Linked DNA regions of Struthio camelus. The protein of the gene in region 1 interacts with the protein of each later gene in a pairwise test. Links are inferred from orthologs where the notes say so. Each region holds a gene or a part of one and is shown in the gene's direction. Other genes may lie near its edges. The genes, in order: PSMC5, PDC, THRB and VDR.

Region 1 (7,070 bases):
ATTCTCCAGCTCACCATCCCCTAGCGTGATCTGGACGCAGCAGAGAAAAAGGGCTGCCACTCCCAAGCCACAGCCCCTGCCCTGCCTCCCTTTCCTCTGCACTAGCAGGGCTGGGAGCTACTGCTGGGGCAGCCAGCTGCCTTCTTTCGCTGCTCCGTGCTCCTGACGACCAGGCTCTGTGGCCACCAAGGTTTCTCTGGCCTCAGACACTCACCTCATTGGCCTTGGAGAGAAAGTCCACGGGGTTGGGAGCCTTGAGGAAGTCCATCAGGGTGAAGCGACGGTACAGAGTCGTGTCACCATCTGCATAACCTTCTGCCTACAGAAGAAGGGAGCCTTATGAGCCAGGCAGCTTCAACCATCCCCAAAAGTCAAATAATTTGCATCTACCTGCAGCATCCACCTAAACGTGCCCAAGTGACACAGGGACAAGGACAGGTTATGAGCCCTTACCACCTGCTGAGTAACAGGCCCAGCTCTAGGATGTCTCCTCCAGCCTCGACCTAACCTCAGGTGCAGAAAGGAGTTGGTGAGAGAGGCTTGTGAAGCTCCACTCCCAGTTGAAGTTGCCTGACACAACCACTGGTGTCCTGTGCCCCAAAGACATCTCACGGAGACATAAGCCCCATAGCCAACTACTGCACGGAATATGTAATACTGATCTATTCCCACCCAGGCTCATGGCTTGTTCACAGCTCCCCCACCTTCAACAGCAGTGAACCTCTCCATCATCCCTTCCAACCCCTGGTATCCTGGGATCTCTCGTTTTCCTAGACAGCTCTCCTGATTAAACATTTTTAATATTTAATGTTTGGCTCTGCTGCGCAGCAAAGCAAGTCGGCCAGATGCCCAACACCCTCTTCTCTCCTGCAGCTTTTCAGCTGCTCATGAGCTCCCAGAAGCCATCTCCTCCTTCTCCTCACAGACTTTGTCTAACTGCTGTCCCCCCAGGAGTTTTCCCTGCCAATCTGTCCCGTGAGGGAGCTGAACCCAGAAAGGCAGGTGGTTCCTCAAGACAAGTAGAGTAGGGAAAAGGGCTCCACAGAGCCAGACCCTCCCTCAGGCTATGGCTGTTCCCTTGAGTCCGTTCTTTGCTGAGGGACACTTAGTCTACCCCAGGAACGCACCATCCTCATACCTTTGGTTTCTTCTTGCTCAGCAGCTCACTCACGGACTTGGTCTGAACCTCCACCTCCTTGAAGGCATATTTCGGGTCAAAGAACTTGCTGTCAATTTTATCTGGAGCCTGATAACCTGTGATGTGGGAATTGGAGAGTTCAGCAGGTTTCTCCCTGCCCTATCCCAGTGCACCAAGCTGCCAACAGCTGCAAGTATCCTCAGCTGCTCACCCTGGCACACCACGAAGATCTCAGCGGACTCATTGCGGGAGGCTTGGGGCTTGGTGGCTTGGACCTTGCGGAAGAACTGCTGGAAGATCCAGAGGAGAGGCTGGTAGTCCCGGGAGCGAAAAACCTTGGTGATGAACCAGCCGCCTTTGCAGAGAAATTCGCAGGCGAGTTTCAGGGCCATAAGAGTCAGGTTGGCTGAAGAGGGAGAAAGCAGCAGTCAACAGAGTTGTCAACTCCCCATCACCTAGCTCCTTGCTCCGCAACATGTGCCACCATCCACTGTGCCCTGCTGGGGCATGAGACGCACCCGCCCTTGCAACCCCTGGCAACTGCCCTAGGCCACACAGCAGCCCCGCGAGGGCCCTACCTTGGGAGTAAGCGTCGTGCACCCAGCTGGCCCCCACGTTGGGTGCTCCATCATTCAGCACCACGTCCACCTTCCATGTCTGCAGCTCCTTGCGCAGGGCCTGAGGGTCAGAAGTGCATGTTAGTCCTGCTAATCCCTGTCATTCTGCACAAGCCAGCAGGTAGCATCTCCAGTCCCCAAAAGCCCACGTTTCCACCTGCCTGCCAACCCAGACAGTCCGTTCAGCTGCCTGCCCCAGTCCTACCCCCAAAATGAGCCCTGACTAAGCAGCTAGGGTGACCTCCAGCCCAGACAGACCTGCTGAGTCCCAGATCAAGAGATGACACTTAGCAGGGTGGTTTTTACCTGGCGACACTTCTCAGTGGTGATGTCCTCCTGCAGCGTCACCACGTTGGGAATGGGTTTGATAGGGACCAAGTCCACCCCTGGTATAAGGAAGAGATGTCAACGTCGAAATTTTCCCCCCAACCTGGGTTCCAGCCTGGCTTCCCAGCTCACCCCTTCCGTGTACCAGGGCCCCCAAAGCACCCCATCCCTCAAGTCAGATCCAGGGACTGCGGAGGTGGTCCCTGCCCCAAGTCTCCCCTACGACATCCTTGACCACCCCTGCTCCAGCTCAGTGCAGGGTCCCACAACTCACCAATGATCAAGCTGGAAACAGGCATGAATTTGGAAGCCACCTGTAACCTGCAGAGAGCAGAGAGGGTAAAAGCTACGGCAGGATCCCATGAGAACCACCAACCTTGAATCATGCTGCCTAAGGCTTGGGATCTGCCTTGGGATCTGCGACAGGGAACAAGACGAACTGCCTAGGCAGGAAGTATAAAAGCCAGTTCGCTACAAGGTCCCAGCTATCCAAATCACCAGACTCCTACCTTCTTTGTGAAAGCCTTTTTCACAGGCACCCTTGAGTCAGGAATAGGTTAGCTATCCAGATAGAATAACTTGGATAGCCCCCATCTTGCCATGCGGGGGAGCCACAAAGGCTTAGGGCTACTCAACTAACAGCACACACAAATAAAATGATCACTAAAGAGTACTTCAGTCTGCACTACTTAAACACAGCCCAGACACTGAGCCTCCTGCAAGTAGATGCCTGTTGGCTTATGGCTCAGAGCCCGTGGCAGTAGGGGGCATTTCAGCGGCTTCAACAAGAAGTAATCATGTTTCTCATCAATTCCCCCAAAGCAACAAGGTATCTGGGGCAGGTGGAGCACGTATAACTCCAGCTGCAGCTTGTGCAGACCAGCTTTCAAACCGGAGCCAAACGAGCGTGTTCCTCTGGGCTCTGGCTAGTCTGGCTCACCCATGCACCTCCAGGAGGGAGGCCCATGGGGTAGCCAGGCCTGGTGTGGGGCAGCTGGAGATGTTGGGCCATGGCTCCGGGCCTGGCGACACTCACCACCCACCAGGGGCTGCACATAGGTCCAGCAGTGCCCGGGCCTTTTGCAAGAATTGGAACTTCCTATTGAGCTGGAGAAGTTTGAAGGAGGAGCGGGAGCGAAAGCCTGCAGAAAGAAGAGTGAGGGGTTACAGATTACTGGGAGTTATGGGTTTGCTCCTCTCCTCCCGACAGCGCGCAGGCTCCACTTACCCGTCTCCTTGGCCAGGTGGTAGAACTTGTCCCGCCGACTCTTGCCTACTTTGCTCTTCTTGCCCATGGTGGCGTCAGGCCGGGACCCCGGTGGGGCTGGGAGCTACGGTCACCTCTGCGCACGGACCTGCGGGGAGGCTAACGGGCTGAGCTCGGGGCGGCAGGGCCAGGAGGACCGACCCGGTGTCCCCCCACGGCCCCTGGCGCCCGCTGGCCCTGGGGTGCCCACACCTACCCCGGCCCGATGTCCGCCAACCCGGTGCCCCCCTCCCCTCCCAAGGGCCTACCCCGGCCCTGGAGCCCCTCAGCGCCTTCTCCGGCCCCGCTGCCCGCCCGGCTCCCCGGCCCCGCCGACCTACCGCGGCCTCGGGGTCTCCTCCCCGTCCTGGTGCCCCCCCGGCCTGCTCCGGTGCCCCCTTCCGCCGCCCAGTCCCCACACCGCCGCGCTCCCGCGTGCGCGCCCCACCGCCTCGGGCTGCCACTAGCGAGTGACTTCCGCTTCCGGTCGCCCTTCGCCACCATCTTGGGAATGTTGTCTCAGCACCAAGTCCCCGCTGCGAGCGGCAAGACAGGACGCCGCACGCAGGGAAAGGGGGAGGGAGAACAGACCTTCTAGGAGGCGCGTTTTCAGCCTACTCACCACCCTCTAGTGTTTCGTGACACAGAGGAATAACGTTTGACCTTACCAAGATGGCGACAAAAGCAGCGTGCTTGCGGGGCCATTTCTGCGCACGCGCATTCTCCACGCCGCCAGCACTCGAGTGCGCATGCGCTCTCACATCCTTCGGGATTGGAGCAATCTGTTTGTTACTGTGTTGTTGGGGGAGGGAGGAAGTGACGCCAGCACGCTCCTCGCGCGGGGGGGGGCCAGCGGAAGGGACGCCGCAGCCATCTTTAGTGCAGGCAGCGGTGGTGCCGGTGTCCCGATGCCGGCGGAGAAGATGGCGGTGGACGGGCCCGAGCAGGTGAGGCTGGAGCCGGGCCGAGTCGGGGGCTGTTGGCGGCCGGGGGTGCCCGGGCCACGCTGCTTTGCCATGCTGAGAACGGGCGGGGGCCTGGCGGTCGCTGTGACTCGGCGGAACTCGTCTCAGCCTTGGCGCGGAGGCAGACCGGGGCCTGGGGCAGCGAAGGGCATGAGGGGAAGCGAGGGATCCACGGATCCCTGGGCGAACGGGGACTCTGGGGGCTGGCGTTGGGGACAGGTCCGGGGAGGTGCGCGGGGGAGCCCGGACTCCGAGGGCTGCTGGGGGCTGACCCGGAGGTAGAGGTGGATTGCGGGGCCCTGGGGGAAACGGGAGGCCTGCGGGGCCGGACCCCGTCTCACTGAGTCCCGTTCTCTCACAGATGGAGATGGATGATGGGAAGGGTGGCACGGGACTCCGACAGTACTACCTGTCCAAGATCGAGGAGCTGCAGGTGAGCCATCCCCAGCTGTGCAGCCACCCGGCCTGCTCTGGGCAGGTGTCTCTGTGGTTCCAGCCAAGGGTGCCTATCTCTGTCTCCAGGCCTACCCTCAGGCTAAGAACATCTGCAGTGCTTTGTAGGCCTTTTTTTGCTGCCGGTGCCCTGTCCTGGGGTGCAAGGAGGAGGCACTTGTGAGGACGGTGTCTACAGGCAGGGCCATCAGTCCAGCCTTTGGGCGATGCGGGCATCCACGATGTGTTTCTGTCCTACCCAGTGTCATCGCTGCTTTGTGTGTATGAGATATTGCCTAATCCTTGGTAATGGAACCTGGCTGGTCACGTCCTGTTTGGAAAGGCTGTGCTGTCCTAGGTGCTTGTCCCAGGATGAAAGCTGCTCCTGCCTGTTCTGCTGCAGCTCAGCTAGTGCCTGTTGCACGCACTTGGTGTGCAGTTAGTTTGAATGTTGTATGGGATTCTGAAGTCTTAGCTAAGCTTTCTTTTTACCTAGCTCATCGTCAATGAGAAGAGCCAGAACCTGCGGCGTTTGCAAGCTCAAAGAAACGAGTTGAATGCCAAAGGTACAGCTCTTTTCATTTTTCTCATCCTGATCTCCTGCAGTGATGTGGCCACTCCTAGTTGCTGGGCTGATGACTTGGGACCCAGCTATGGGCCAGCATGGCTAGTGCTGTTGTTGGGAAGATCCAGCTCCTGCCAGGCAGGAACATGTGCTCTGAGTTTCATAAATCCTCTAGATGTTTTGTTTTTGAGGGTTTTTTTTTTCTTTGCTGTTGTAGTTAAGGGAAGGTGGGTACCCTTGGTTCCAGCTGAGTCCCTTTCCTGAGCAGGACTCTGCACTGATCCCCAAGATGTCCCCGAAGGGCTGCGTGGGGTGTGTGTGCCACCTCCATTGGGGGCCGGGTGTCCTCTCACTGCACTGGGAGCTGATGCCTGTAGCTGGGCAGAACGGCGCTGCTGATGTCTCCCTCCCTCTTCACAGTGCGCCTGCTGCGAGAGGAGCTGCAGTTGCTGCAGGAGCAGGGCTCCTACGTGGGGGAGGTGGTGAGAGCCATGGACAAGAAGAAAGTGCTCGTCAAGGTACAGAGCTGGGGTGAGCGGGTTGGAGAAGGACAGAGTCTTTCCTCATCCTTGCACAAGGAGAGGGTTGGAGGGCAGATGTGATAGCACAAGTTCTGGGAGGGATGTGACAAGGAAGAAATGTGAAGCGAGAGCTGTATCTAGAGGAGCACCTTGTAGCACCTCTCGTGAGCCCCAACCTTCCCCAAGCAGGTGGGAAGCACCTGGCTCAGGGGTTACTGGGGGCAGGTGGAGCTGCAAGGTTTGTGTTGGTGGCTGAGCTGCCTGGCTCCTCCTTCCCCCTCTGAGAAGCCAGTATGGGTACTGGACACACGACTGGGGACGTTTCAGGTAGAGAAATAACTCATGGTGGCAACTGCCATGTTTCAGGTGCACCCGGAAGGGAAGTTTGTGGTGGATGTCGACAAGAACATTGACATTAATGATGTGAGTGTGGGGATGTCCTGGGGGCCGTGGGTGGGAGGGGAAGGAGATTGCTCCCCTTGGGGTGGCCTCGTGCTGCCTGCTGCATTCCTCAGCCTGGGGTGGCTCAGAAGGGCTGTATCAGGGCCAGGTGCTAAGTTCCCCTCTGATCTTGGCGTAGGTGACCCCAAACTGCCGCGTGGCCCTGCGCAATGACAGCTACACACTGCACAAGATCCTGCCCAACAAAGTGGACCCTCTTGTGTCCCTGATGATGGTGGAAAAGGTCCCGGATTCCACTTACGAGATGATCGGAGGTTTGGACAAGCAGATAAAGGAGATCAAGGAAGTAATCGAGCTGCCAGTCAAACACCCAGAGCTCTTTGAGGCCCTGGGGATTGCCCAGCCTAAGGCAAGTGCTGTCCACCTGGGCCTGGTGTGATTAGGGGCTGCTGGTGACCACAAGGGGATGAGCACCCTGGGGTGCTGCTGTGGCTGCTGCTGCAGTGGCACTGCAATGCTGCGATCCTGCCCCTCGCTGCCCAGGGTTGCTGTGCATCACCTGCTCCTTTTTGTTGAGGTTGTTTGGGCTAGTGGGAAGGAGAGGTAGCTCTGGGGTCTCGTAGCTTCTCGGGTGCTGCGTTCCACTTTGTGAAGGAGAGAAGGGATGTGGGACAGTAAGTGCTGCTGCCCTGGTGAGGATATTTGCTCTCCCTGTCTGTGGCTCTACCTTGGGGGCAGAGGAGAGGGGGCTTTCCTGTCCCAGGATCACCTTCAGAGGCCCCTGGACTGGAGCTTTCCCCCAGCTTGCATGCATGGTGGCAGGGAGCTCTGCCCAAATGCAAAGGGCCTGGTGGCAC
Region 2 (7,999 bases), on another chromosome or scaffold:
CATGTAGCTTGAAACAGAAACGTGCAATCATGTCTCGCTGACGAAGATCCTCGTGAGACGCTGTTTACTTTTCATTCTTCCATTGCCAAAAGTTGCCTAAATTTCATACTTTATAGGCTATTTCGCACTGATTCCTGGGGATTAGCAGCATGTTGCTGGTTTATAGCCTTATGTAAACCCAGGCACAGAACAGCATTTCCAGTGGGATTTGCACATATGGAGAGCAGCAAACTCGCATCTAGAGTTTGTTTACACTTCCAGAAAATATTTCTCATGTTTACTTATTGTTGTGCTAGCAACAATTTTTATTTGTTTTGTCCTTTACAAAAACGTACTTTCCTTTAAAATTTTTTTTGTTTCCCTCCCTTCCGTAATTATAACTAGAAGACACTATTTTTGTATTTACAACAACATTAAGAGCATTAAAGCTGAATAAGTCATCATTAGAAGTAAAGAAGTACAGTGCTTTCTTCCTGAACTACCTCAAAAATTCACTATGCAAAAGAGAAAATAGTAAAAACATTCGCAACTTTGGGAAACAAAACTATTCTACGAGGCCAAAGGCACAAAATATTTTTTAGTAAGTAGGAAGGATAAGCAAACATTTTATTAAACGGTCTTTTCTACACTGTAGTGAAATTGGCCTATCTGGTCTAATCACAACAGAAGGACGTGCATCAGTCATATGAATGGCTGTTCTGGAATACAACAGATCCAAAGTTCATAGACGCTAAATGGTATCTTCAAGCTAACGCTTAGGGTTCGGAGGGGTTTTGTCTTATAGAAGGGGATTTAAGGACACAGGAAGTTATGAAGCCCAATAATAAATAGGTAATAATAAGAAGAAATAAGTAACATAGAATTATCCGTCTCAAAATATAGACTTGAAGTCACCATACGCATTACAAATCATGCTCTAAATAAACCAATGAACAGAACTGGTCAGGAAATGGTTTTCCCTTCATTAATACTTTTCAGATAAAAAGAGGGCAGGGAACAGTTTTCAGTTGACAAAAACAGTGATAAAAATTAATGATATCTCCTAAATGAGCAATTTCTTTTCACAAACATTTTTGTTTGTCTGGCATGTCATCTGCTGTTAAAAAGTTGCAAAGGAAAAATGTAGATAAGTAGCAAAGAAGCTGGTGTCCGAAAAGGTCTATTGGTAACTGCTTAGAATTACTTGACAACCAATAGCTTTGATGTTCATGAAAAATAATGACATTGACTATAGTCTTGCTACCACTGCACATCATCCTAGGCTGCTGTTTTACTTGCGTACCATTCCAGGCTGTACTGTCCGTCTCTCACCTTGTACTCTCACACAAAGCAAGGACCTAGCAGAATGCCAAGACTGCATATTTACATGAAAAAAATTCGGATGTAAATCAGTAAGGACTTTATAAGAGTTGGTTGCAATGGCCATGAATGCATATTCTCCAGCATGCAAGCCAATCTCTATGTAACAGAAACAGATAAAGCTTTCCTCATACTTTGCTTTGATGCCTTTCACAGCAGTCTCCATCAAACACAGGATACCAAATTCAGTGGGCTGTAACATGGCAACTCCTGGATTCCTAAGAGAGTCTGGGGTCACTGTGACCCAAAAATGGGAAACGTGAAAGCAGAGAAGCTAGATAATTCTGTTGGCTTACTAGAGATAGGAATCTAAAGTGAGAGTGATCATATCCCTTATTTCCCACAAGGAAACTACGCTGGGAAATGCACGTGCAGGTTCTGATCAAAAGAGATCACTACATCATCATTGGAAAGCCTGGAGAATGGCACTGTTGTGAAGCAAGCTCGAGAAAGTGTAATAGAAGCTGTGCCACTGTGCACAGGAGCACCAAATAGCAACAAGAGAAGGAATGGGCCTTCCCAAACAATATATTCCTCACCTGCACCATCTCCTCAGGTGACACATACATGCAGCTAACTCCTGCCACCTCTTAACCTCAGCAATCCACCAGGCCACTGGGTTGACTCAGGTTTAAGGGGGTTCTACTACAGATGACCTCAAACAACGCATTTCTGAAGGACAGCGCAGCCAGTCAGTTAGGATCCACTTGCAGCTGGGAGTGCAAACAGGGACGCCATGCGGTCTGCCCATGTGGTTGCAGAGTGCAGCTCGCTCTTAAGCGAGCAGCTGTCTTGCATAGAAGATGGCTTTAGCTGTGCTGACCCTTGGGTACTCCCAATTTCAATGCACCAACAGGAATGATTGATAACCTTGCAATGGGTTGTTACAAATAGCTGCTTTACCTGATTTGCTTTAGTGCCTTAGTACTATGTGTACTTTTAAAACTTTGTACAAGTTAATGGTTAGGCACGTATCCATGTGGAGGCACTTCCACAGCATGCTCCAAAGCTGGCAGCACCCACATCTCCCCACATCTTAGGAACCTAGCTTTTTCTTGGGAAACTGCTATATGCCCAGCATCTTGTTAAAAAATAAACCACCCACACACCTCAATCCCTCGCTTACTTCAGATGTATGAGATATTCTTACCCTCATGACTGCCCTTGTGCTTGTACTCACACTACACCTTTTCTACTTACACCTTTTCTGCTGTGCTTTCTTCAAAGGAAAGACACACACTCTAGAACAGCCAGCTCATGCTGCAACTGAGCTTCCCACGGCTCACCTTGCAGTTACATGTTCATAAGCCCTTGTCCTCAGCTGCCTAACTGGGAAACACCTGGCTGGCTCGGACAGCCTGATTCTTACAGTGCCAAGTTAAGAACTGTAAATATTTATACCTCTATTGAAAGGAGTAAGATTTGCGTGACTTGCACAGCCTGAGTCAGTAGAAGGGTCCGGATTAGATTTTAGGAGTTCCCCACTCCCAGCTCTACGGTCAGCTTACCAGTCTCTCTATTGTAAGGATTATTGCCTCACGCCACACTTTAGAATAGTGGGGGAACGCAATTTGCTGTGTTATTATGATTCAGCTAATCTTTTGAGATTCATTAGGTACATGAGACCAGTAACGTGTATTTTAGAGAGAGCTTTCATTTGTTACGCAATCAGTTTCCACCTCTAACTTTCCACCTAAAATGTGGTCAGCGTTCTCCGGCTCAAGCCTGCAACAGGCTGCTTAATTGCTCCTTTTCATATCCTGTTTCCTTTTACTGCATTTCAGGGCTAAAAGCTATAGAAGAGCAAAGCATACATACAGAGAATTAAACCCTCTTTTTTTTTTTTTTGCCCTCGCAGAACAAAGAAAATTCTCAGCATCAACTGTCTGTAGAATATTTTATAGATATATATTAATATAAGTCATGAGAATGACTCACAGGGCTTTGACCCAGCAGGTCTGCATAGCAGTCCATCACTAACATCACAGATTCAGTTTTGCATATGTGAGACGGGATTAGCTTAATCTATTTCAGAATTGACTGAATACAGCAGGATCTCACACTGAACTGGATAGAAGTGCAGCTCAACAGATAGATTTTATTAGTAGTAGTTCTATTTTTCATTATCTGCTTTTCTTCCAAACTAATTCAAAATACTGCCTACAAGTCGATTACTTACCACAAATCTTTCTGCAGAATTCTCACATTTACTAATTAGCTTTTCCAATATACACAAGAATTGGGTTACTTGCATCTTGCTCAGCCATTATTCCACTTTCCCCCTTGATCCTGACGTGTAAGTAGCAGTCCAGCAGGTGAACGTGCCACTTTCTCTTGTACATACATTCTACAAAATAAATGTCACTGAAGTCTAACTTACTATCAGGTTTTAGATCTGGCATTCATTACATAACATGTTAATAATTGCTTCAAGATAGGATCTATTGCAAAGCCTACTTTAACAGCTGAACTGCTAAAACTAAATGGGAGCACTCTCTCCACAGGAGTCTTAAGGCAGACACTTTGAAGAGTGGCACTTTATCACATTGGAATGACAATTTTTGACTAAAAAGGAAACTTCTGACTAAGGTGTAACATGAGAAGAGATTCAGGAATATGTTGTGGCAGAGCTCACACGCAGAGAGATATGAACCTGTCTGTCAGCAGTAGAGCAAAAATACATTTGAAGAACTAGTACTCCCTCCCCACCCCCAGTATATCTTTCTGAAACAGATAATTGATCTGCTCATAAAAGCTGCAGAACCCTCAAAACATTTACAGTGACTTTCAGGAAACAGCAGAACATCAGCTAGACCAGCTGAGTTTGAGAGCTCAATGCTCTGGCACTGCCCAGCTCCGCTTATCTGGAGAACTCTTCTTACAGAGGAGAAACCTTTCTTCTTCCCTTTAAGGGGAATGGTCCTGCTTTGCTCCTCAGAAGCTCTACTGGAAGACAGAAAAGGGGGATTGCTAGAGCACTGCTGTACCCCAGTGCTCTGTGACTACTGTCTGGCTCTTGGGGATACAACTGGTGGAACAGGAATGAGATTTATACTCCCTGTAATTTCTTCTGTTTTGTAACTTTGTTCAGTAAAAGCTGTGTAGCTCCAAGATGTTTAGAGGCCTCTGATCTCACAGGTACAAATACTTGGCTTCATCCTCTGTACAAGAAATGAGCAATTCAGGCAATCCATAAAAATAAACACACTTACAGGACTTGGAAAAGTCATCAGTTCCTGATTTTTGGAGGGGGGGGAGGAGGGAGGGGAGGCAGGGAGAGTGAAAATAATCACTGCACATTACCATTGCAGAAAGTTTTACTAGCACTATCCCAAAATAAGCTGTCAATATTCTCCATGACTGAGAACAAACAATAAAATGAAGATATCCTCAGCCAGACACTTTCAGTGAGAATTTGGCCAGACACCTTTAATAACAGACTGATCCTAATAGTTTTTTACGAGGCAATGAGTAGCTCTACAATTACAATTTAGATTTTTTACCAGCGCTGATACCTAACAGCTGCAGGAAATTACACACTGCACTGTACCTAGCTGTAAGCTTGTACCTTTTCATTCTGCTACTGTTTTCCTTTTTGGACTTGCAGCATCTCCCACTCCAGTCGCCAAAATGGAAGAAAACAGAAACGCCAGTTTGGAAGAAGATTTTGAAGGACAGGCTACACACACAGGCAAGGAAATCGATTACTTTCTGCCCTCCCCCATCCTAAATATAAGCTAAACTGCAGAAGTCAAGTACATTCACTGAGATGCCAAGCTCCTTGCACAGAGAAGTACGCTCCAAAGCCAATGAGAACATATTTCTGACTAATTGACATGCCTCATGTAAGGGCAGGTAACACCAAAATGATCTTTGTAGCAACCTTCCTTGCGCCTGAAGCAAATGGCAAATGCAGAAGACACCTGAAGAGAGCACCAACAGCAATTGCCCAGTGCAAATCTTGTTGGCTTTTTGCTTCAGACACAAACAACTTTGTTCCTTCTAGTGGAACCCACTAACACACTATAAAGGCTGAATTATTTTTTTCCTTCTTACAGAAGGAATGTTCAAAACGCAGCTACATAGCCTTCTGACAAATGCTGCACAGAATCTAAAAATCTTTAAAAGCACCCTTGCTCAGAGTCACAATTCTTTTCAGTCGAGACTCAATCACCATGATTTATGAGTATCATTGTACTTTGTTCTACAGACTACCTCATCCTATCCTGCCAAGGGGTAAGTAGTACACGTGTTGAGACCACCATCCATTGCCTCTCTGGGCTCTGAAGGCTCCTTTTCCTTGCATCATAACAAATTCAGCTCCTGTAATAGCCGTTCTTGGGGTTCTTTCCCAGACCAGTCCTGCTACTGTCAGTTAAGATATTTTTCTAGGGACCCAAATGCAAGGCACTACGTGCACACTTAGGTTTCTGAACAGTCCTGAAAACTAGGCTACTGAGCACTTAACTGTTATCACCACGCCAAGGTTTCATGCTAATTCCTGTCTTGGACTCTTGCTTGCAAGGGTTCCGTTCACCTAACATTTCCCCCTAGGGGTGTGGTGTCAGGTACCTCGCCTTTAGCCATCACTATAACACGTTGAAATTTAATGCACAATAGACTCTTAGCAACTGGCAACACTACCTCATGAAGACACAACACTTCTCTCATTTCAGTTTTTCTCTCCTTGTTCAGTCCTGGGCTCCCCAGTGCAAGAGAGACATGGAGCTCCTGGAGCAAGTCCAGCAGAGGGCTACAAAGATGATGAGGGGACTGAAGCATCTCTCCTCTGAGGAAAGGCTGAGAGAGCTGGGCCTGTTCAGCCTGGAGGAGAGAAGACTGAGGGGGAATCTGATCAATGTGTATAGGTATCTGAAAGGAGGGTGTCAAGAGGATGAGGCCAGACTCTTCTCTGCGGCGCCCAGTGACAGGACAAGAGGCAACGGGCACAAACTGAAGCACAGGAAGTTCCATCTGAATATGAGGAAAAACTTCTTTCCTGTGAACAGTAACTGGAACAGGTTGCCCAGAGAGGTTGTGGAGTCTCGTTCTCCGGAGATATTCAAAGCCCACCTAGACATGATCCTGCGCAGTGTGCTCCAGGTGGCCCTGCTTGAGCAGGAGGGTTGGACTAGAAAACCTCCAGAGGTGCCTTCCAACCTCTGCCATTTTGTGATTCTGTAAAGCAAAGATCTTCTTACCTAGCCTTTTCTGAATTTTCCTTAAAATGAAACTTCACCTCTGAAAACAAAGTTCTCCATGTTTTTGCTTTATCAAAGGTATAGATCAAAATATTTGATTCTGAAGAATACCATTGCCATTTTGAACCGTAAAAACTGCTTAGCTAACCAGCTCTGAAGAGTGAGATTGGCATTATAGTCAGAATCATCAATAAGCAATGCCTTACAGATTAGTCCTTCAGTGGAACAGATATGGGTTAAAAATAAACAAAAAACCCCAAATCTTCACGTCCTGTATTCTTAATTTTACTATGAATGTGAAGTTCTTATGTGTGGTACGTATTGAAAGCCATGGTCCGTAGGGAGCCACAAATATATTTGTGAGAAACACTGGTTGCGGCCATGAGGCCTGTTTTAACAAGTTTCCAGGCCCTCATCCTTGTTAACCCCTTGTGCCGTTCACCAAAATTCTTTTATACTATCATGATATGAACCAGAGTACCAAAGTGACTGAGGTCAGAAACAAGCCTCCAAAAGAAAGAAAAAAAGAGTTTATGCTTTGGTTTTCAGCACTCCTGGAGCATGCCCCGAGAGCAAATGGGGATGGATAAGTTGTGGCACAAAAGGACAAGTGAAGGGCAGAAACTTCTTAAGACTGCTTCTTGTTGCAGCCAGTTTCTCATCTAACTTGTCTCTCTTAGGGCCCAAAGGTGTGATCAATGACTGGAGAAAGTTCAAATTAGAAAGTGAAGATGGAGACTCCTTATCCTTGAGCAAGAAAGAAATTCTTAGACAAATGTCTTCACCACACAGATCTTTCAGTAAAGACGATAAAGATACCAGAGAGAGATTCTGCCGTAAGGTAAGAGGAGAAAAGCAAAACACATTTATTTTGATTCTATATGAAACAGTTATATAACCTAGAAAATCCTGAATTTACCAGGCTCGGTTCCTTTGCAACTGAGCAGAACTCTCATAATATGGATAAAATAAATCAGCACTATTGACAGTAGCCTTACTTCGGATTTGTATCATAAATATAACAAAACAACCTCTTGGGTGCAGATTATATTACTCCCACTAAGTAGCATGTGGCTGCATAAGTGCTGTCATTGAAGACTAGGACGATACTCAAAGAACAAAGAATTGCTTGCCACAAGAATAGCGACATCTGACCTAAAAGACACAGTACTATCTAGGCCTCTCTCAGGTAGAGTCCAACTTCTGTAAAATAAGCAGTGTATGTCATAGAAATATATCACACAATACTGAGAGTTTGGCCTTTTCTCCCCAATGCTCTATCCTTGGTTAAGACAGTTGAAAGTTTTTTTTATAGGCTTAAAAACTTGCTAGTCAGGATAGAGCTCTGAAAGGGTACTCACTGCCACGGTAACTGAGTAATTGCGAAAACAGTGATAGTGGGGGTGGGGTGTGGGGGGGGGAATTAAATCCTGACCCCA
Region 3 (7,159 bases), on another chromosome or scaffold:
GTGAAAGACTCCAGTATTCAAGTCAGAATACAAGACTGAAACAACAATTGTATGCACTATTTTCTAGTCCACTTTTGGACTTTAGGTGAAGACCCCATCTGACTGTCTTTTACCAGATGATTTAATGCAAAGTGATACAGGAAGAGGACCCTCAGAGGTTCAACTGAAAATACTCCAGGAATATTTCAGTTTTAATAATGATACTAAATCTTTGCAGTGTTTTTGGAACTGATTTGTTTCCAAGGGAGCAACAATCTGCAGTGCTATAAACCTCTTGGATGTTCCAGGTGAGGAAACCTCATTGCCTGGCAGTGTTTATCATTCATTTTTTGCCGGAAAAGACTCTCATCCACTTTACTTTCTCATTCTCCTCAGTTTCTTGTAATGTAATTTCCTGATACCATTGCAGTAATTCGGAGAAAAGTAGTACATACGACACGTTTCTAAGTGTTATTGACATAGCATTAGAAAACAAACAATGTTTGAGGAGTTGATCTTAGAACCGAAAAGAATTCACATGCAGTCCCGTATCATGATACCATCTCCGCCAGGCACCATGCTGCCTGCGACTGCTCTGTCTACGTACATCCTCAATTCTTTTTAGTTTTTGGATAACGAAACTAAGTCAAGTAAGTGGGAAGAAGAACCAGAGGAGAGAAAATTCTTAGGAAATTTGCCTCATCTGGCAAAACAAATCCACAAGGTGAAAAGGACCTGGTGAAAATTTCCAGCTTGGTTCCCAAAAGCTTTTTTGGGTGGTGTCAACCACCCGGCAGTCGAAGGGCGGTCGGGCACTTTCTGAGGCGGCTCCGTGCTGCGCAGGGAAGGGCTGTGGCCGATAGAGGTGGCCTTTTGCGAGGTTCGGGTCCGTTCTCATTATAAGCTCTCGCTCGGAAAGCAGCCTATTCTGCCGGTCCCCAGCGAGCCTCGGGCTCCACGCGGGCAGGGCAGCCCCCCGCGGACACCAGGACAACGCGGCTGCCGCCGAGCTGCGCGGCAGCCTGGCTCTCCGTGGCTCCGCTTATTTCTCTTCCTCTTCCCTGGCGCGGGGCTCCATTAGTCTGGAGGATGTTCTTCGTCAAATGGGCGATGTCATGTCTTTGTCACCGAGTTACCGAGTCAGTCCTCTCAAAAATTGACCCCAGGGTACAGCTACCGTGGTGCATTTGGAGTCCTCCCATTCCTCGCAGTTGCCTCTCCAGCACTGGTGTCACCCTGGAGACTGACGTAGACCAAACTAGCAATTTTGCCTCGAGGTCATCTATTCCTTTTTATTCTTCAATAAAAAGGGGTCCTAAACAAAATAAAAACTGCAATGTGCTAGGCAATTGTGACCTGCTAAGTGAAAGACAAATTTCTGGGACTAGATCACCCTCTGGTAAGAGTACCTGGCTGTTCTGCTGGGCTAACCTGTGAAATACAGCCTCGCCTGTATGCAAGCTCGCACATAAATTCCTGTTAGCTGCGGTGGAGATCGTTCTGCGGTAAACGGAAAGTCCACTTACCCTACCTGTAGAATGTTTTCTTTCTGGGGAGTATGGAGAATTAAGCTCGGCAGGTTACGATTGTGTCGACATTACATTTGTATGTACTAGCATTACCAACCAGTCACATAAACAGGTAGGTTTTGGGGGGTTCTGTGTAAACGAGCATTGCAAAGTTTCTTAGGAAATCTATGTCAGTTCAGATCTTATTCTCACAGCAGGAAACTGTGATAAAAGCGTGACATTAATTTAAAATATTTGTGAACTCATTACAAATCTTAAACAGAGAATGCACTTCTCTCTTTCTAAAAGCATTTCTGGCAGATCTTAGTTAATACTTTCTGACATTTGTTTTCAGTTTGTTATGATGTTTTTTAATAGAAGATTTTTTTTCTCCTGGAAAGTAAAAGAAAATAGGCTTTTTTGTCTCTGAATATATGAGTAAGTGTAGCTGATGATAAAAAATGCAGTGCACAAGCAAATCACCATACTTATAAAGGTTCTCAGTAACTGAGCACTTACTTACCTTGAGACAGGGGCATGATTTTTATGAAGCGCTGCAGCCATTCTTGAAAAATCAGATCTTGCCTAAGACATGCTTTTTTATCTCAGACAAAATCACTGTTTGGAAAATCTAGATCATAGACTTGAACTGAAATGAAAATTAATTTTCGATGTGTGCGTTATCACAATATATTTCACAATGCTATTTTGTTGAGTTAGGTCTTCGGTAAAAACAACACTGAGAATGAAGGTTCATTTGTGTTTCACTTCTGGGATTTCAGTAAATACTTACTGCTCTTAATGAAGTAAGTTGTTACTTTAAATTGCAAGAGTGTTACCGCAATAACTTCATTCTGGAAGTAACTTCATTGAGTTTAGTAAAATTGGTCTCGATGGAGATCATTTTGACTTACCAAATGCATTATTATTTGGTGAGGCAAGGTAGTAAGAGTTGGTTTTAAAGATGCTTCTTTTACAGTTAGGAAACCAAAATAAAAATAATCCAAGAGTAAAATTTAACTTCCAGTCCTCAGAAGCAGTTACCCTGTGATCTCTTAGCCTATATGTTAGATGCTAATTGCCAGTGCTCATTATTTAAAAAGGTTAGTTATGGTTGTGCGTTAGAAAAAGAGAGAACACTAATTTACGGGCTCTTTATATTAGTCTGAAGCATTTGATAATACCAGCTCGGGAGAAATATGTGCATGTTAAATGCTGAGTCTTATGAGTTTCACAGAATTTTGAGGACCATTGGAGTTTACGTTCAGCTAGGTTGCTAGAGGTATACTTAAAAGCCAAGAAGAAAAGGGGCCAACATACAGGTAGTTTTGGCAGTCTGTCATCTCGAGTGTTGTTTAAAATGAGTGAAAGAACAAAATTAAGACCTCATTATTAAATCAGTAATTCTGCTTCCTAATAATAAGAACAGACATTAAAGAGAGATACCATTTTGTTACTGATTTCACAGGAGTTTTACCCTATTTATGCTGTGCTGCAAAGAAAACATATTTTAGCTAGTAAAAGCAAGGCAGCTATTATAATATTAAAAAATCCTTTTAAATAAAAAAGAATGGGCGATCAAATATGATATATTAACCACACTGATGTTTGGAGTGTGTAAAGCAGTTATAAGATCATATAGTATTTTATTTTAATGGCATTGAAATGTACATAGCTCATACGAGAGCCAAACTGAGCAAGAAAACCTCCTGGCTGTGCTCAGGTTGTTGATGCAAAGGATACTTTTTTTAAAAGTTCTTTGTTACTGAAACATAAAAGATCATGAAACAAAATAGCAAAACAATTAGTTTGCTGGTAATATTTAAGCAGTGTCCTTTTTGCTGATTAAATCAAGTCATTTTGAAGTTTCCCACCTGTTGAACTAAATAGAAATTATCTCCCCAAATCACTGAACTTTAAAAAAGCTGCTTTCCGGTAAATGCATTAAGAGGCAGTAGGGAGGATTGTATATGTGTGGAAGGCTGGGGAGATTCATGCATGTAATTCTGTAAAACAAAATCAATAAAGCTGATGACAGATTAAGTTGCTAAATTTTGTAAAACTAGACTACTGTTTGGGTCATCAACACAGTGCTATTGGATTTTCTGTGGTTTAATGCTGAAAAACAGGATTATTGATTTTAGGATTTTCAGCGTATCCCCTCTGGGAGTTCTTAAGCAGTCTTCATAATGCTTCACACTTAAGTTGACAACTACAGTGACATAACTGTGTCCTCGCCTTAATAATCATTTTCTAATCATATTGCAAAAGGCTAGAAACGGTTTATAAAACGATTATTGCGGACAAACAGTGGAACAGGAGGGTTGTCGGGACGCCGCTCCTTTGTCTGGTGGCCATTGCTGCCTGCCTGCCATCTTCCCTTGGAATTAACTTACAGTCACAGATTAAGACCTTTGACTGTCATAAATCTGCTTCCCAATATGTTTGACTGGCAGGGGAGTTCACAAGCCATGCCAATATAAATAGGATTTTAGCACATCAGGTGCTGCTCCAAAGTGAAACGGGCTGTTTTGCAGTCGACTTTGTTGGTGTTGTATATTCATTGCTCCTTTCCCGTTCCATGTGTATGCATGCCTGTGTGTGTGTGCGTGTGTGTGCGAGTGTGTGTGTGTGTGCGCCCGTAAAGTAGGAGCCGAGATAGGGTAACAAAATGAACTACTGTATGCAAGAAATCTATGAAGTGCACCCAGCTGCTGGGAGCAATTGCTACATGCAGTCCACTGATTATTGCACATATATCGAGGATAATCAGGGTTACAGCAGTTGTGATGCTCAGGTCCTGCACGGTAACAACATATATATGGAACAGGCCTGGGCGGTGAATCAGCCTTATACCTGTAGTTACCCTGGAAACGTGTTTAAAAGCGAGTACTCTGACATGGACATGGCCCTGAATCAGTACAACCAACCTGAATATTTCACCGAAGAAAAACCTACTTTTTCTCAAGTGCAGTCGCCATCGTACTCTCAGAAGAAAGGTAGGGGCAATTTATTTAAATACCAAAAAAAATCTGTGTTTTTGTTTTTGTTTTGCTTTAAACTTACAGTTGCATCACTTGGCTCAGATACATCTTTGAATGTGAAGGCTGCCTGTTCAAAATTGAAAGCAGCAGTAACATAGGTTGCTAGGTGATTGTAAGCTTTTCTGTGAACGATGAGGATTTCCAAGCACTTTTTCTTAATTTGTAAAGGACGTTTGCAAATATATTGCTTGTTTTCTGCTTTTTGTGGCTATTAAGTCCATTTACTGAACATCAGTGAGCTAGATAAGAAAGTTTCTCTTCTGAAATGTCGTCAGTAAATATTCTTCAGCTTAAATCTGTTTTCTGCTTCCACACAAACAGTCTGTGTGAGTCCTCATTATCACTAAATGTGAATTCTCTTTACTGAATAACTCAGTTTCAGGCAAAATATGTTGAAAATAGAACTGCAAGTATGTATGGGAAAATGATTACATTTAATAGAGTTGCTGTCTTGTAAATGAAAACCGTGTCGTTTCTGATTATGCAAAGCCAAAAAGATAGGACAGTCGAGAATATAGCTCTGCAGTAAAGACTCTTCTCCATCCAAAAAGTTGATCTAATCAGTATGTTTGTGAGAGATAATCAGAGAGTGGTATCTGTTCCCTTAGGATTAGATCACTGCTTGTTTTCAGAATTTCTTCTTTTGCTTTCAAGTAAGCAAAGCAGGTATCACTTCTCAAAAAAATACTAACCACCACTGGAAAATGTTCTCAGTGTTACTTGTTCTGAAGCCAGACAATCAAACTGGCACATGTAGAGTATGTGTTCTCCATAAAAGTGTATTCCCTTAAAGTCACTTGAATAAAGAACAAAAATACACAGTCTGTTGTACCAATATAATATCCTTTTTCTCTTAAGACCAAATTTCCTGTATGCAGTTACTCAGAAACAAAATGAATCTGATTTAACTAGCTAGACAGAGAACGACACCATTTACTTTTTTTAAAGTGCCTTTGTAGTCAAAAGTAGCCTGTTTAATCATATTAACAACATAGAAAACTGAAATATTTTCCCTTGTGAAGGAAACGCTCATTAGCACCTGGTGCAATAAAACTGTATGTTCAGTAGAAAGTATCTTAATCTTGTACTTTGAGCAGTATTCATAATAAAGGGACTATCAGAAAAATAATCCTGCTCTAGGAAGCTGTAGAGAACATGATCAAATTGTAGACTAAATGTAGTTGTGCATAATGTGCTTTTTTTGTATTTTGTAGCATTCTAAAGTCTTCTTTAGGCTAATTTTATACTATTGGATTTTAATCAATAAATTTATAACTCTTCATAGACTTTTCCCATGTGTCATTTTGGTCAAAAACTGCTACACAGGATTAACTTCAAGAAGATGGAGACTTGCTATTGCGAAGTCAGTGAAGGAATATATATTTCATAATGCGAAAGGATTTTAAATGATAATTGCTGTACTTAGGTCAGAGCTTTAAATGAGTTATTCCAGTATTCAGACATCTGATACATTTAATGCTCTGTTTACAGTTTTTCTACTTGCTTGTTGAAAGAATACAGAGTTATTTTTAAAAATTGTTTGCCTGCTCATGTTTTTCATCTACCTCAGTTTCACTTAAAATTTGCAGAGAATTTTCTTGGGAGCAGTCACTCGAGCACACTTTTAACTGATCATCCACAGAGACTGAGCAAAGTTCCTTCGGCTTCTTTACAGCCGTCATTACTGTGATAATCCATAAAGAGTTGCGTCCCTTCTGTCAAACCTTTGCAAATGCTGACTTTGTTAAGCAGAATAAATCTAAACAGTGTGGGACATGTGCATCTTCTCTTTCTTTTTTTTTCTTTTTAATTTCCATCTTTTACCCAAGCTATCATAAAACTAACGAATCTTTTAATCCCGTCCCAAGAACAGAAGGCTCTATACAGGGCATGTGTGCCTGTATTGATCCAGAATTGATTTGGGGGGGGGGGAAGAGGGAGTTTGTTAGAGAAGCCTTGGTAATAGCCCATTAAAGCAAAATTAAGTCCCTGAGCAGGTGTCCATGAGGAGTCTTGATTGTTGCAGTTGGTATTTCTATTAGTCCCCTGAAACTTGTGATAATCTCAATACCATTCATGCTGTTCAAATCAGATTGTACTTTACCGTAACACAGGGAGGTTCTTCATGTCAAAACTTCTGCTAGTTTTAAAGGGATCAAAATCTTCTTTAGTTTCCCCTCCAGGAAGATAAAAACATTGTTTTATATGCTGAGAAAAGCTAATGTTTACGAAGGGGAGTTTAATTACTTCTGTATCTATATGTCACTTTGAGAGAATTAAGGAAATAATGAGAATGAAAGACTCAGACAACGTGAGTGTTGCTAAAGGGAAAAAAATCAGTACTTAGAAAGTATAGCCAGATGTTCCAAAACTACAAGAAAACACTTAAGCTACTCCAGATATCACTGTACATTTAAAACTATTATTTCCTGATTTTCAGTTACAAATTTTGATGAAAGATTTGAATATTAAGGGAAAAAACTATGCTCCAGAAAAGCAGGCATGGAAGTGTGGTTTTAGTTTGGCATCTTGTTGTTCTGTATGTTCTGTGCTGTACTATACATTATTAACAGGTAGGAGCACAACATTCCTACAAGAGCTTACTATTTTATTAAAGAAATAGCTCTG
Region 4 (7,917 bases), on another chromosome or scaffold:
GCGTCCTTGACCAAAGCGGTCCCCCAAGGACGAGCAGCACCATGTCCTGGGGATGCCCAGAGACGCACCATGATGCTACGGAGCACCTGGGAAATTTCTGAAGCTCCAGTTTGCAGGGAAAAGGAGTCAAAACTCCTTCCCTCCCGTTGCCCTCAGTCCGATAGCTCTGAAAAAGGAGACAAAATGGTCAGTTTGAGTCCTGGGTTTAGGGGCTTGTGACTTTAGGCATGTGGGATCAGGCTGGGCTACAGGATGAGCCTGGATGTGGATCTCCCCAGCCTGCGCTTTGCCCCCGGGTAATGTGAGGACCAACTAACGCAGAGCGGCCCCCCAAACTGGCCAGCTGACATTTATAAACCCAGCGGTGCTGCGAATCAACAACGTCCCATGCAAACTGTCGTTATTCTGGTGCTGTAAACGTGAGATCTTGGTGGAAAACTGAATTCCTTCCCCTCATAATCTACAGCTGCTTAACCAAAACCATAAAAACAAAGTTTATTGCAAGAAAATATTCCCAGTAACCTTGCATGCTCAGGAGACAGATGCCTCCTGAGCACCGGGGACTTGCTTTGTATCTGCTCTCCTTGCTGCCAACTTCTGCCGCTGGTGGAAACTTTATGGATCATTTATTCTCTCCTTCCCAGGAGCAAAATGCCAGCATGATGGAGTTTTCCTGGCTTGCCGTTCGCGAGATGCTAATTGCCTGCCCGTAACTGTCAATGATGGATGGCTGTGCATCTCCGATCACTCCCGAACTGAGCTGGGGGATAGCCAGGGACCAGCTCTCTGCAGGCTGGAGCGAAGGTGCAGGGTGCTGGCCCTCAGGACCCTACAGGGCAGGAGGTAGAAGGGGCAGATGCAGGATCAGGCTGCCACCCAAAACCGCCTATATGGATGGACCTGCACAGGCAGAGGAGAGCCGGCACCAAGCCCCGGGGTGAGCTCAACCCCACAGTAGACACCGGAGAATCCCCAGAGGGTGCCAAACCCTCCTCCTTGATCCCCCAGCCGACCCAGCCGCTGGAGCCATCGTCACGCTGGCAGGATTTTGCAATGACTTCCTGAGAAGCCTTCGCTGCATGGAGGATGAATCGAGCGTTTGAGTCACCCCAAGAGAAAGCCAGAGGATCCTGCACTTATGCTGCTGCGAGAAGCAGGGATTGGGTGGGGGGGGGGAGTTGCTCCCGGGGAGGTGCTCAGGGACCCAGCTGTCCCAGACAGTCCCGCGCTCCGGGTTTCGGCAAAGGGAGCGGTGGCGACCGTGCAGTCGCTGCCGAGCCGAGCGTCTCCCGGGAGCACTCTCCCACCCACATAACCAGCCCTATTACTCCCATTAGCTCCCAGCTGCAAAGTGGTTCCCATTAGTTGTGTTTTCGGAGGCGTCGCTTTTTCCCGATTTGTTTCGCGAGGAAAGGAATGTTTTCCCCTGCGCCGTCCCCCTGGCCGGGGCTGGACCACGCAGCAGGAGGAGCAGCTGAGGAGGATTTTCCCCCTCTCCCCTCATCTCTTTCCCCCTCTGAACACCTTGTTGCTCCTGTCCCAGGCTGCGATGCCCCTGGTTTAATTTACTGTTTTGAAGGGAGCTGATGCAGGTCCCAGCACAACCCCCCCCGCCCCGACGCAGCAGCACTGCTGGAGCAGAGGGGCAGCGTGCCATCACGTAAAGGTGGGAATAACCCTGCCACCACCTTTCTCTAGCCCGGCAGCATGCCTTTTAATGCAAACAGCTTCAACTTTAGGGACTTTTACAGCTAAGTCCTGGAAGGGCAAACTGAATCACAGCGAGGTTAAATGACTTGTCTGAGGCCAAACAGGAAGCTTGTGGCAGAGGAGGGCTTCGATTCCTCCCTTTCATGAAGCCATGCACCAGCTGCTGAGCCATCATTTCTCTCCATTAACCCTGGCGTTTCCCAGTAAAGACTGAGCAAGATGAGAGCTGAAACTCTTTAATGTTGTCAGCCTGCAAGAAATCGGGGTAAACAAGCAAGCAAACCCAGGCGCACAAACCCGTTGGTTGGTAAAACCGCTCTATGCCGGCTTGCAAAGCACCTGGGCATGGAGGGGCCTGTTCTCTGAGCATTTAGTAGCATTAATACTGCTGGCCCATGCTATGAGCATTTGCTGTTTGCTTTGCTCGCATTGTACCAATGCAAGATTTTAGACCTCGCGTACGTCTCTGCGCATCCTTTTGGACCAGCGTGGGAGGGATTTTGCAGCTCGGTTGCACGGCTCTCCGCACGGTTCTCCCCGCAGCAGGGCTTGCTTTTCCCCATGTATGTGGAGGGAAAGTGGTGGTACTCTTAAGCATGACTATCCTGGAGCCCCAGAGCAACGGGACACGATGGGCAAGCGGATCGAGGCAAGAAGGCACATGGCCGGTGAGAGCTGCTGGCCAACGACCTGCATAAGATCCAGCCCTGTATTTCCATGTGTGAGCACAGCAGAGGCAGTGGCAGAGCAGCCTGAGTTCGAGGGAAGAGCCAGATAATAGCTGTAAGCCAGCACAGGTCACAACCGAGGGTGCAAATTAAAACTCTCATCAGTTTGAAACCTTCCTCATAGCTTCAGGCACCAACTGGTCCACGTACACAAGAACAGCAGGGTTTGGCAGCTGAGCTCTTTTATTGGGTTGAGGAGCGCGTTGCACTGCTACAGACAAGTTGAGGTCCATGGGTAATCTGCTGCATTAAGGCTTAAGACACAATTTAACCTTGCAAATGGCTGCGGTGGTTTAAAGCGCTTGGCCCCACCTCTCCCGTGCAAGCCAGTGCGCCCATGGCAAGGTGACGGGACGGGGCACATGCAGCACTCCTCAGCCACTCCAGCACAAAGTCCTGCCTGCCCGCAGCCTCTCCCCTCTCCTCTCGCAAAGTTCTGCCGAACTGTCTTTAACGAACTCCCATTTCCTCCTAGATATTTTTTTTTTTCTCTGATTGGCCTCATTAAATCAATTTAAAAGCGTTTAGCAAAACGTTTTCCCCAGGCAAATTAAAGCAGTTGAACTTGCTGATTATGGTTCAGGAGCGGTGATTGCTGTCTGCTGTGACGCTGGCTCGGCCGCCCTCGCTGTCTCTCTCCCTGAGAGGTTCGTTCCCCCACTGTGCATCAGGGGCTCGTTTTTTCCCAGGTTTTTGAGTTAAGAGGACATGTAATAAACTTTGGGAACATCACAGTAGGGGCTTACTTGAAGCTTACTTTCTCCCTCCTTTGTAAAGCGTTGCTGATTCCTGTCTGCACTCAGCGACACGTTTCTAAGGACGGGAAGTGAGGAACCGTCAAACAGCCTGAGTGTTTTCAGACCTGGGGTGTGATGTGTCCAGGCAATCGAGCGGCTTTGGGTTGGGGCTGCAACACCAGCCGAACCTGCTCGACCCAAACCACCACGCTCTGGTTTGACTCACGTCGCCAGTAATGTGATTTTGGCTGTCCGAGGTCCATGCTCGTGACCTGGCTGGGAGGAGGGACGGCAGCAAACCCCGCTCCGTTCAGCCAGCTGCTCGCGGGTGGTAGTCCGTGTCAGCTGGGACTCGGGCCGGCTGGAGGGATGGCAGGGAGCCTCTGTCACTGTCCCGTGCTGCAGCAGCGCCTAGAGAGCAAATGCCAGATCCCAGTGTCCTGCAGTGACAGCCAAAACCAGGCGTCCTGTGGGACCCTGTCCCCCAGGCCCCTTCCCATCCCCTCGGTGTGTCCAGGGTCGTCTGTGCACTGAGCCAGCAGCGAGGCCTTTGCAGCAGGCTCCCGTGAAGCCACTGCCTCAGGGGCACACCAGGGGTGCCACGGGGCTAGCCACGCTCAGGGCTGCAGGCTGCAGAGAGTCATGTCTCTGCCAGGAACCTGCCCACCCTTGACCATATGCTTTTCTAGCTCTTGGAGCTGTGCCTAGGATGTAAGCAGAGACTAACTAGCAGTCTCTAGTCTGGAGGCAGAAGATGAATCAGCTCTCCTTCTCCCATTAATCTGATCTAAGCATCAGAAAAATACATGAGCGCTCTCAAAGCTGTTCTCAGATAAAGGATTTGCAGTGCATGGTGGCAGGGCTCTTGGATGTCCTTCTGAAAACAGGAGAGGAAGAGGAGCCCTGCACATACTGCAGTGGCGTAAGCAAGATGGGGTTAGTTTGCTACGTGACAAATTCGGTGAGTGCTCCTGGTGCATAGTGGCTTGTTACTTAGAAATTCATAAGGAAAGCAGCCTCTGAACCGCTGCCAGCTCCAGGGACAGAGCTGTGTAACACCTGGACTCACAGGAGGCACCACAGCAAATGAGAAATACGGCACAGACACCCAAACATGCTCAAGACCCCGCAGGACCCCATGTTACAGGGAAACAGTTTGCCAGAGCCTGCTGGGGAGGACACCAGCAGTATTTGTCCCTGTCCCTGTGAGGGACCATCCACAGGCCAGGAAGCCTGGCTCTCTGGAAGGTGCTAGAGGTGCTGTTCGTTTTTATTAATCACTGCTCTACTTCATTAGGCCCTGTCTTGGGTGGGGGGGGGGGTGAAGAAGGTCTCCGGTGGTGGCCCTGGGGTGGGTCACTCCTTGACGTGCAGCTTCTAGGAAGGAGGGGTGAGGGGGCGGCTGTGGGGCGTGCCAAAAAGCTGTACCCCAAAAGCCCCGCCGAGTACCCCAGAAGCTGCTGGCGGAGCGCAGGGCCGCTGGGCTCGTAGCAGGGACCGCGCTGGGCTGGGGGGTCCCGCCCGGCCTGGGACCCTCCCGCAGGACACGCACCCACGTGCGATCTCCCGCCAGCCCGCGCCCCGCCCCTAGAGGGCGGGGCTCGGCACGGCCCGGGCCCTATAAGGCATCGGTGGGAGGGGCTTAAGCAAGCCGGCTCCTTCGGGGGCGTGGCCAGGGCGGCGCCGCACTGGCATTGGCGAGACGGCGGGAGGGGGCGGGTCCGTGGGCGGGGCCCCTGCGAGGGGGCGGGGCGCGGAGCCAGCCGGTTCCCGTCAAAAGGCGGCTCCGGGGCGGTGGGGGAAGGAGGGGGTGGTGGTGCCGCCCGGGAGCGCAGGTACCGGGGCCCGGGCTGGGGGCGCCGGGGCTGGGGGGGAAAACTGTTCCCGCTGCCTGTCGCGGACTGGCCCCTGGGGAAGGTGGGGGACCCCGGTGCCCGCCGGGGTGTGGGTTGAGGGGGCCTCTGGTGCTCGTGGGGCTGGGGAGGGGGGCATGTCTATGGGAAGCCCCCTGCCCGAGGATGTGGGGGGGGGGGACCCAATTGCCCCCTATGGAGGGAGGAGGAGTGTGGGGTTGCTCCCTGTGGCCCTCCACATCCTGGGGGGCAGGTGAGTGTTTTGGGGGGGCCCTTTGGACCCTTTATGCCCCCCTGGGTTGCAGGTCTTGTTTTTATTTGTCCCTCCTATACTCCCTGCCTCCCTGAGGTTGATGGCCCTGTAAATGTATGGGGGGGCCTCTGTGCCCCCTGCTGCAATTCAGAGGCACTATGTGGGGGGGGCTGCAGTGTCTCCCCTCAGCTCCCCCTTCAAAGAGGGTCTCAAGGACTTTCCTCTCTGAAAATGGGGTTCCCCTAGCTGTGGGAGGGGTCCCCTCCATGCTCCTGCCCCTGCTGTGTGTTGGAGGGTGGCTCTGGGGCTGGGGAGGTCCCCTAGTGCTGCCCTGTCTCAGGTCTGTCCCCCCTCTTTGGGGGGGGAGAATTGGGGGGGTGACTGTGTGACCCTTTCCCCAAGCCCCTTGTGAGCTGTTGCCAGTCAGTCTGGGGTCCCTGTGGTGGGATGTGACCCTTGCCTGCTCTCCCCTGTCCAGCCCCTGAGGTCTCTGAATCTGTGATGCCTGTGACTTATCTGGGTGCTGTTGCAGGGGGCACAGGCCCATGGAGGCATTGGGATTGGGGGTGCTTAAGCTGTGCTTTAGGGTTTCCAGCCTGTCCCTTATCAACAGGCTGGTCTCTGACTCAGGTAAGTTGCTAATTAATGATCAGCTTTAAAGCGTATCTTAAAGCCACACTCCCAGTTATGTGTTGGAGGTGTGGAGGGAGATGTCCAATGCCAGGCTGAAATCCAGCTGTGGCAGTAACTGTGCTCGTTTGTTCTCTCTACCTGCTTCCCCAGGGGCTTTTTTGGCTGTTGCTGAGCCATCTACATTGTGTCGGATGTGACTGCTAAAATCCCTCATCTTCCCAGCGCAAAGAGAAAGCGAAGGTACTGGGGATCTTTCCACTTCTCCTACACAGAGGAAGAAGGGGTGTCTTTCCCTAGACTGAGCAGGACACCCCTGGGTCAAGAATGAGCCCCCAGAGGGACCTGGGGGGTATTGAGTGGCTGGCTTAGGACAGGTAGAGGTGACGGTTCCCTATAGTGAGCTGTGTCTTCCTCTTTTCCCCTTGTTCAAGCTCTGAACCGGCTGATAAAGGCTGGGGCTGGAGTCTTCAGCATTAAAAGTTTCTTCAGAAACTGGTTTTCATGAGAAGTCAGCCCTGGGTTTGCAGCATTTCATGGTGTGCTCTCCTCCCACACGAGCTGGGCAGTGACTCATCTTCCTCTGAGGACTTGGTTAAAGGAGCACCAATGATTTTGGGGCAATGTGTGTCTCCTCCCAAAGGGAGACATCTGCTCAGCATTCAGCTCTGGTCTTGGTCTGCAGACCCTGTCAGTGCTTCCTCTGTCTACCGGGGAGCGAGGGTGAGCTGGCCTGGCTGGGTTAGTGTTGTGGGTGCCCCTGCATGGGTAGGGAGGATAAAGAATATTTAACTTGCCTGCTCCAGTGGGGAAGGAGGTTAGGTTATAACTACTCACTAATATAAAACTTTTTCTTACTTCTCCAGTGCAGCTGGTTACTGAGTTTAAATCGGTCTGGGTTTGTAGCTGTTGGCTGTGCTGTGATTTCTGGATGTATCTGGTTTAAGAGTACTTAAATGGGAGCTAGGTTTCTCTGGATGTATTAGGAGCTTTATCAGGGCAACAAGCAGAACAAGTGCTTCTTTTTAAAACCATGCTGGAAACCTGTTTGGTGTTGTGGCATGCCAGTGTCTTGCTTCTCTGCTTGTCCCTTATCAAGTGACTGTCCTCAATTCAATAGGATTTTGCATGTGTCTCAGTCTGCTGCTCCTTGCAGCCCAGAGCGGGACAGCAAAGTCTGGGTCCTCACTTGTAATCAAAGTGCTCTCTGCAGTGCGAGCACCTGATGTGGCAGTGCAATCTGTACCTGGTGATGATGTCCCAGGTGAGCATCTTGGTCAAATAAGCCAGGCTGTGGTAGGCTGAGGTTTGGTAATTTTGCAAGCTGTACTGTCAGCTGTGTATTGGGCAGATGACTGTCCCTCCAGGGGATCCAGTACCCTGAAAATGAAGGAAGGACCATTGGGTGCAGGAGGCATAGTCAGATGTCTGCCTGAGATCATGCTTGTCTGTAAACAGATCAGGTGTGAGATCTTGCAGCAGGATTTCAAATAACAAAGGCATGAAACAATAATAGATTTTTTCATTGGCCAAGAATTTGCCTTGGGTCAGTTAGCTTTTTCACTAACTGTTTTTTGCTTTAATCCCAGTGTACTTAAGACAAAATAGCTGGGTAATCTAACTTTTTTGTTTTCATTTAATAGCTGACTTTGGAAAAGTGGCTAATCTTCCCTCTGGTTAGAGGTGCACTCAGGAATAATTTTTAACCTGCTATTGCTGGGCCAAAGTGAAGTCAATCTGGCCCAAACTTCCTGTGGCTTTCAAAGGGGAATTGCTGAAGTGTCAAGTCAGTGGAAGAGAAATAATCAGACTTAAAAGAGGTTGTAAATGGGTCTATTTCTTCTGTGCAATGTCTGATCATGATGGTGAAGGGTGGAATTGGTCAGCTGAGCTTCAACACATGTTTTTCTTCTAGTTGTGCAATACAAGGGAGCCTGAGTCTGGATGCTTCTCTGGCAGCATGTCTACCAGCTGCAGGGCTGTGGCACGAGAGCCTGGTGCAGGCA

What was found.
Region 2: the proteins of PSMC5 (region 1) and PDC interact in a two-hybrid assay, tested with the Homo sapiens proteins (2 studies listed by BioGRID). The link is inferred for Struthio camelus from reciprocal best matches to the Homo sapiens genes PSMC5 and PDC.
Region 3: the proteins of PSMC5 (region 1) and THRB interact in a two-hybrid assay, tested with the Homo sapiens proteins (3 studies listed by BioGRID). The link is inferred for Struthio camelus from reciprocal best matches to the Homo sapiens genes PSMC5 and THRB.
Region 4: the proteins of PSMC5 (region 1) and VDR interact in a two-hybrid assay, tested with the Homo sapiens proteins (2 studies listed by BioGRID). The link is inferred for Struthio camelus from reciprocal best matches to the Homo sapiens genes PSMC5 and VDR.

What each region holds. Positions count from the first base shown.
Region 1 is NC_090966.1:2,766,901-2,773,970, forward strand, and holds the start of PSMC5 (26S proteasome regulatory subunit 8), read left to right. Parts: upstream 1-4,068; 5' UTR 4,069-4,077; coding exon 4,078-4,275; intron 4,276-4,654; coding exon 4,655-4,726; intron 4,727-5,221; coding exon 5,222-5,291; intron 5,292-5,710; coding exon 5,711-5,808; intron 5,809-6,177; coding exon 6,178-6,234; intron 6,235-6,391; coding exon 6,392-6,622; intron 6,623-7,070. Other genes in the region: pre-rRNA 2'-O-ribose RNA methyltransferase FTSJ3, read right to left, coding at 1-30, 215-319, 1,139-1,254, 1,350-1,544, 1,717-1,816, 2,062-2,141, 2,357-2,403, 3,119-3,224 and 1 more.
Region 2 is NC_090949.1:3,413,611-3,421,609, forward strand, and holds the start of PDC (phosducin), read left to right. Parts: upstream 1-4,989; coding exon 4,990-5,050; intron 5,051-7,240; coding exon 7,241-7,401; intron 7,402-7,490; exon of another isoform or gene 7,491-7,999. UniProt on the Homo sapiens protein: May participate in the regulation of visual phototransduction or in the integration of photoreceptor metabolism. Inhibits the transcriptional activation activity of the cone-rod homeobox CRX.
Region 3 is NC_090943.1:44,272,532-44,279,690, reverse strand, and holds the start of THRB (thyroid hormone receptor beta), read left to right. Parts: upstream 1-4,143; 5' UTR 4,144-4,158; coding exon 4,159-4,486; intron 4,487-7,159.
Region 4 is NC_090969.1:3,457,989-3,465,905, reverse strand, and holds the start of VDR (vitamin D3 receptor), read left to right. Parts: upstream 1-4,907; 5' UTR 4,908-5,010; intron 5,011-6,064; 5' UTR 6,065-6,154; intron 6,155-7,917.